Linked DNA regions of Ovis aries. The protein of the gene in region 1 purifies or fractionates together with the protein of each later gene. This does not show direct contact. Links are inferred from orthologs where the notes say so. Each region holds a gene or a part of one and is shown in the gene's direction. Other genes may lie near its edges.

Evidence for each region.
Region 2: the proteins of RAB3GAP1 (region 1) and VAPB purify together in Homo sapiens (affinity purification with mass spectrometry; 4 studies listed by BioGRID and IntAct, counting the BioPlex papers as one, with this or other methods). This does not show direct contact. The link is inferred for Ovis aries from reciprocal best matches to the Homo sapiens genes RAB3GAP1 and VAPB.

Annotation. Positions count from the first base shown.
Region 1 is NC_056055.1:175,591,980-175,595,799, reverse strand, and holds part of RAB3GAP1 (rab3 GTPase-activating protein catalytic subunit), read left to right. Parts: coding exon 1-86; intron 87-183; coding exon 184-287; intron 288-398; coding exon 399-514; intron 515-1,975; coding exon 1,976-2,078; intron 2,079-3,820. UniProt on the Homo sapiens protein: Catalytic subunit of the Rab3 GTPase-activating (Rab3GAP) complex composed of RAB3GAP1 and RAB3GAP2, which has GTPase-activating protein (GAP) activity towards various Rab3 subfamily members (RAB3A, RAB3B, RAB3C and RAB3D), RAB5A and RAB43, and guanine nucleotide exchange factor (GEF) activity towards RAB18.
Region 2 is NC_056066.1:57,626,682-57,630,501, reverse strand, and holds part of VAPB (vesicle-associated membrane protein-associated protein B/C), read left to right. Parts: intron 1-1,164; coding exon 1,165-1,317; intron 1,318-3,820. UniProt on the Homo sapiens protein: Endoplasmic reticulum (ER)-anchored protein that mediates the formation of contact sites between the ER and endosomes via interaction with FFAT motif-containing proteins such as STARD3 or WDR44.

The DNA of each region.
Region 1 (3,820 bases):
TCTGGCAGTCCAGAAGCCGGCAGACCTTGCTCGGCACCTGTTACCCTGTGTAATCCATGCAGCTGTACTCAAGGTAAAGGAAGAAGGTAAATGTCTTATTTGATTAGTCATTAGTTCATTTCCAAAATGAAGGTAGACTTTGCCTAACTTTTCTAATGATGGCTTTGATCTTTTTAAAAACAGAAAGTCTAGAAAACATTTCTTCAGTGAAGAAGATTATAAAGCAGATAATATCCCATTCCAGTAAAGTTTTGCACTTCCCCAATCCAGAAGACAAGAAATTGGAAGTAAGTCTGATCTTGTCAAATGTTCTTCCCAGTTGGCAGTAATTTTTTAAAAAATGCTTTGCTTTCTTTTGCCTTTTTCCAATGTATGCTTCTCCCCTTTTGCACTATTAGGAAATCATCCATCAAATTACTAATGTAGAAGCTATAATTGCCAGAGCCCGCTCACTGAAAGCCAAGTTTGGAACTGAGAAATGTGAACAAGAAGAGGAAAAGGAAGATCTTGAAAGGTAATAGCTATCTGACTAACTCATCTTTGTCTCCCGTAGGAAAAGCCACTCTTTAGAAAATTTTCATAGAGTGTTGAGATTCCTTTGTAGTGCTCCCATATTATTTGTAACAAGCGTTAGTTAGAGACAGAGAAATATTTGTTTATTATAGGATTGACCTCTCTTGTATTTGTGAGTACTTGTCACTTGTTTCTGTTCCTCCCACTTTAAGAATGAAGTCTTCCAAGTCTTCTAGGAATGTCCTTGTTTGCTCTTGGAGCAGTTGCCTCTGGAGGAACTGGCTGTTCATATTCACTCTTGTTACTGGAAACTTTGCTTCCCACTCTCACTGTTCTTAACTATAGGCAGACGTGTCCTGAAACTATTTCTGCTCAACATTCCTACTTAACAGTTCTAAACAAGAGTTGTGATAGCAAATGTGCATATCTCTGTCCCTTGTGAATATGTTTTGAAAGAGTGAGCAGATGGCCTTTCCAGGATGAGGCAAATGACTGGGTCAGTCTTTTCCTCCTTCTGAGATTTGGACCATTTCAAAGGGGGGCTGTCAGCACACACCCCTGTCCATTTTTGCCCGAGATACTTGAAAGGATGATGTTGTTTTAATAGATGAGAAAGTGTTTCCAGATTAGCTACTTCAACGGGTTGAATTTGTTATAACTAAAATTTTCATCAGCCTTTCCAAGAGAAATAGTGTTATTGATGTTAAATAATTAGTATTATATGACAAGGCATTTGCTACAGCCTTTAACAAGTTCTTGTTTGAATATTATGTCTTTTGTTGAGTGAAGTTTTCTCCCAGCCTTCTTTGCTCTTGAATATTCCTTCCTTTTAAATGAGGAGAATACACTCTAATCAAAGGAAGTTTCTAAAATAGCAGTTCGAGTTAGCGAGCAGGTGGTGTGAGCTTGGTGGCTCTGTGTCCTCGACTCTCTTAGTTCCACCATACGTTGTCTGTGGTACACTTGAACGATGAATGCTTCCAGCACATAATGGCACAGTTTACAGCTGAGACTGTGCCCAGCAAAACATATTTTAAGTGCATGTGTGCCTGCGCATGCACACACACACACCTCTTAAAAGAACAAAAATGAAACACAAGGATCATTGCTTTGCTGTCTAAATTAAATGTGGTTTTTGTTGTTAAAACATTTAAAAAAATCTTCCTTAGTATAACATTGTCTAAGCTTGTAGTCTAAAAGAAATAGACTATTTCATCTTACACTTTGACAGAGATGGGCTTTTTGAAAAAATTTATTAAAAGAGTTGAAAGGCATGAAGGTTGTCATTTGAGTTGATTTTAATTCCAAATGTTGATCTATCCTGTTAAATTTTCACTCCAGCCTTGATATGATTTTCACCAATATGATTTTGAGGGTTTGTCCCCAAAATTAATCAGGGAGGACTGACCCAGTGTGAACTGAGCAGCTCCTTTTCCATCCGTTCATTCCCTCTTTCTCCCAGGTTTGTGAGTTGCCTTCTGGAACAACCCGAGGTGTTAGTCATCGGTGCAGGCAGAGGACACGCTGGCAGGATCATTCACAAGCTGTTTGTGAATGCTCAGAGGGTATGTGAGATTCCTTCTTGACCGTGTCATGCTCTCTCCAGGCCTCTGCTCAGTAAGGTACTGTTTTGATTCCCACAGATGAAGCTGCTAAAAGCACTGGATTCAAACATTGAAGAAATAATGACTCTCTCAACAGTGACTTCTTTGTCTTTGAAATCCATCTGCTCTTTTACACATTTAAATAAAATGATAAGTTTATTTCTGAAATTTGTACCTAAATTTCAGAAGTTAGAATGGTCTGAAATTCCTTGTTAAAGAATCTGATAAGAGACTTGGTTAGCAATGACCAGTGCAGTGGTGTGGAAAAAATGTTTACCACTGTCAAATTAGAATAGAGTTTAATTTTACCAGTTTTAAACTCCATGTACTGCAAGTGGATTCACAACTTAGCTTGTGAAATTGCAAATTGTAACTATTTTTATAACGGTGAAAAGATCTAACTTCAAAGTTTTCCTCGGAAAGATTTTTAGGACAGTGGAAACAGGCTTCAGCATAGAAAAAAAAAAGCCCAATTTGAAAACTTTTCTGTCATTACCTTTATTGATGAAAGGAAATGTTTAAAAATTATATAGTACCTTCTGACATTCTAAACTATTAAGATTTGAATTTTTTACAAGGTTGATATTATACTCTATGTTGACTCTTTCTGTATAAATGTTTACTGGTTGTTTACTGATTCAGAGGTGCTGGCTTTTTGCACATGAGTCTCACATTAGGACTTCTTAAAGATTCTGATAAAAGTATTTTGAAGCATAGTAAACACAGGGTGCCCCTTATGCAGTACTGTGATGACGCTTAGAATGGCCCAGTTTTGGAAGTTTAATTTTCACAGTCAAATAAGGAAAAGGACTTTCATGGGTTTATCCATGAAAAAGAAACTTCATAACCTCCTTTGAGTCAGTTTGGAGTGTATCTGGTTACTATATTCAAAATCATAACCAGATATGTTCATCTGAATTTTTAGCAAGAACTGAAACCTGAGATTATTTATGGGATGGCAAACTAAATTTAAGGATTTCAAGTTAAAAACCAAGTATTTTATTTCCTTATAAATTTCTAGAAAACAGTAGATACTTAATTCAACTTATTATGTTTCTGACTCTGGTATGAAACAAGAATCAGGTTTGTTTCACATCCTGTAATATCTTTGCCAGTTTACTAGCCAGAACCTTACAAACGTATTTCCTTGTTAACACTAATATGAATTTTCCTCATACTGCAGAGATTCTTTTCTTAATGTTTAAAACTTGTTTGTTAAGAAGATGTAAAAATCTAAAGAGATTTTTAATGCTAAGAGTAGAACACTCTCATTGTTGTAAATAGTTAAGCAAAATTACCTTCCCCAATGTGGAGATAATCTTTTCCCCCAAGATTGTAAGCAAGTTCTTACTGTTGTAAAAATTTGGATAATACAGAGAATTAAAAAGAAAAATTAATGACCCTAAAAAAATTAATCACACTAATCTCACTACCCACTGATGATCACTGTCAACATTTAACATCTGGTAGATTCAAATATATGTAAATTTTACAATATAGGATTATATTATTTGTTCTTATTTTCCACCTAATGTGATTATCTTTCTCATGGGTAAATATAGGACTATATCATCTTTTCACTGGGCTCATTGTAATCTCCTTTAATGGATACTGAAATTGTACATTTATCCCATGTTGTGTAATTTTCAAATATTTCAAGCTTTCAAACCTTGTGGGGAATGTTTTTACAGATTCAGCAGTCT
Region 2 (3,820 bases), on another chromosome or scaffold:
TTGTGAGCACAGGGCCACATATACCTCCCCACCCTATCTCTGAATTCCCTGTGAACATAAAGATAGGAGTAAAGAGCTTGCCTGGAAGATGCACAAAGACACCGTTGCTGTACACAATGAAAAAATGTAAATTTGAAAAGGGGTTGAAAAGGACCTAAGAGACATTATAGTTCAACCCTCCCACCTGACTCCTTTGTAAACCTTACGGGTCAGGTTTCAGGGAAGTTTCAGAGTACTGTGAGTAGTATGATTTCATTTTTGTTACCCCCCCTCCCCCTGACACACACACACACACACTCACACACTCCTGTATGTATGTACAGTTTGTGTAAGCATAGATGATGCGGATGGATCTCCCACAGTGTTAATATTAGTTACCTCAAGGGACAGGGGAAAGCTTATTAACTTCCTCTTTATACATCTTTTATTGTTTGGCTTGTTTTAAGAAGCATGTTTTACTTTTTTAATTAAAAAAATCTAATAAAGTAGAAAATGAATAAATAATAATAAAAAATACCCTTAGGGCACTGAGCTTTGTTTCAATCTTCCAATACCCTGGGTAGTTAAAAGTGAACGCGCTATTTTAGGTGTGGGCTGCCCTGCAGGACTCTGACCTTGCTGTAGCATCACTGTATTGTTTGTTGGGGGGTTATGTTTACAGACCACTAACACCTCGAAGTCTTTCTTGAATCTGCTGCCTTTGATCATCATTTTGGACCCAAGTCTAGTCCTTTACCTTCTCTGTGTTAGATTTCATTTGGTTACTGTGGGAATCAGTGTTCAGCATAGGTTAAGAGCTGGCCTTGGACTCAGGCTGCTTGGTTGCAGACCCTCGCTACCACTAACTACCATGAAAATTTTAGGCAAGTGGTATGTTCTCCCAAGCCTCAGTGTTCTTGTCTGGCAGTAAAGTTGTGAGGTATCAGGGAGACCCTGTCTGCTGGAATGCTCACTAGCCCAGGTGCCTGGTGGTATGACGAGACCGTGGTGGATTTTAGCTGTCACTGTTAGTGTGTTGGCCTCAGCCCATCTCTCCTGTGTGTCATGATGAAATGATCATGAGTCAACCACGTTCCACATCCGTCCTGACCCCATACCATAAATCAGTCTTTCCTCCGCATGGTCCTCATGGGATCCCCAACCAGTCCCTGTCTCATTCTGCAGGTCCTTTCACCGATGTTGTCACCACCAACCTGAAGCTTGGCAACCCGACAGATCGAAATGTGTGTTTTAAAGTGAAGACCACAGCACCACGTAGGTACTGCGTGAGGCCCAACAGTGGGATCATTGATGCAGGGGCCTCGATTAACGTATCTGGTAAGTTCTTGAGAATGAAGGCCTAAAGGGTGGGCTGAAAAGGCTCCCTAGACTCAGTGGGATCTCTTCAAGCTTGTGTTTACAGTATAGCAAAGGAAGATGGTAGGCATCTCCCCCCAGCTCCCTACCCTCTGATTAAAAAGCTCGGTGGGTCCCACTCACCTATTGTTTTTCCATAATTAATGCCTCTTTAGTTTAATGCTTACAGCCTTTGTGCCTCAATAGTTAGAGCAAAATTAAAGTGGTAACATCAGACTTTACTTGAGAATGAGTTGGGTTTTCACTCCCTTGAAATTAAATCTGCCCTTTGGCAATAAATTAAAAAAAGGCTAAACAAACTTAATTTTACTTTGTGGGAGAAAGCTAAATGGAGTTATTTTCTTATTTAAGCTAAATGATTTCTGACATTAAGCTCATGTCATTTCCAATGATTGGTAACTGCACTTTACTGATTGTGAAAAGCTAAGGGAGATGAAGGCTGAGGAAATTGGAATGTATTCAAGGGTGCAAGTTTTGTGCATGTCTGATGGGTTTTTCCCCCCTTCTGTCTGAGAGTGCATTTATTTTCCAGAGTCCAACTTTTGAAAAGATGCTGGTAGAGTGCCCAAACTGAGAATTGGATTTCAGAATTAAGGAGATGTAAGCGATGGGTTTGAGTTTAAATGTATTTTAGAAATGAAATAAACTTTGAGCTCATTAGGACTTCTGGATTCAGCAGTGCCTTTTGTATTTGTGGAGGAGGTGTGGGGGAGTGTGTGTTAATCCTTCAAGTATCAGGAGACTGTCACCAGGGCCTCTGAGGCATCATTAGAAGCTACTCCTCATTTGAAATGGGTATCTGGCTGACTTTTTTCCTGACGAATTTTGATTGTGATACATTTGGCTATTCATTTGACACCTGAAAGAAAATGACTCACCTCTTTGGAAAGATACAAGGTGTTTCATTATCTCATGATTTCTGCAGACTCTTGTTCCCTGCATCCTCTGGGTTCTCTCATTAGGGTGCACCCACACTGGCTGTCCCCCTGTGTATTTCTCTCTGAGGCTGCAAGACCTGATTCGGACTCTCGAATCAGGTTATTATCCAGGAGGAATCAGGAGGGTGGGAGCCAACATTTGTTGAGGATCTCTGTGCTGGGTCTGCACCCATATTATCTCATGTAATTTCTGTTATCTGCCCAGCGTGGAATGTATTGTTGTTACCCTGTTGTACCAGAATGACTCCGGTGGCCATAGGCTCACGAAGCTGGCCGGTGACAAAACCAAGATGTAGATCCTGCTTGTCTGGCTCTGGTCCCCAAACCTTCTGCACTGTAGCTCACTGGTCAGGGAGGGGGACCCAGGATATTGGCATTTCAGCATTCCTTGGATTCATGTGGTTTGCGTTTTTCTGTTGAAATCAAGGGCAGTTGATGTTTTTTATTCCCTTTTTAAAGTTGACTTCTTTTTTACCTCTTGATTTCGTTGCCCATGACATATTTAAGCACGGTTGTCAGTAGATGAGACTTACCCACTTTTCACAGTAAATTTGGGGCAGCAGCATCGTTTTCTGAATATAAAATAGTCTCAACAGGCAGATGTACAGTGTAGGTGTGCCTTCTGATATTAAATATGAATGGATGAGCAGAAGTGTATGTCTTTCAGAAAGACTCACTCCTCCCCCATCAGAGGAGTGGTTTTTAAAGTAATAACTAACCCTGGGCATTTGTTTTGATTTATGATTGTCTGCTAAGGAAGACCAAGATTTTGTGGTTGTGGCCTTCCTTTTGCAGATAAGAAGGAAAGGTTCAGGGGGTGGGGGGGGTTGGGTAATCAGAGGCACGTGATGATGATGGCAGAGCTGGTAGTGGAAGCCAGGTGTCTGTCCTGATCCAGTGGCTCTTTGGTGACACCAACTGCCTCAGCAAGGAGGTCACACCAGTCAATCTTAAAGGAAATTGACCCTGAATATTCGCTAGAAGGACTGATGCTGCAACTCCAATACTTTGGCCACCTGATGTGAAGAGCTGACTCATTGGAAAAGACCCTGATGCTGGGAAAGATTGAGGGCAGGAGGAGAAGGGGACGACAGAGGACGAGATGGTCGGATGGCATCAGTGGACATGAATTTGAGCAAATTCCAGGAGATGGTGAAGGACAGGGAAGCCTGGCGTGCTGCAGTTCATGGGGTTGCAGAGTCAGGTATGACTTAGTGACTGAACAACAACAACTGCCTCAGCAGTGTCAGGGGATGGCCCCGCTTACAAATAAATATAGAACAAAATACCTTGGCTCTCAGAGTATCATGTACTTGGGGGGAAAAGCAGTTGAATAACAAAATGTCCTGTGTTTGCAGGCCTTCCTTCTAATGAGACAAGATGATGCTTACACGTGAGAAAGGGCTCCTTTGTTTTTATTTGGTGTGCATTGGCCTCAGTGCTTGAGGTGCACCTGGGTGAAGCCTGATTTCGTTGCCTTTCCGGGACAGCTTCACCTGTCAGCAAAGGAGGCCAGCCTCTGCTTG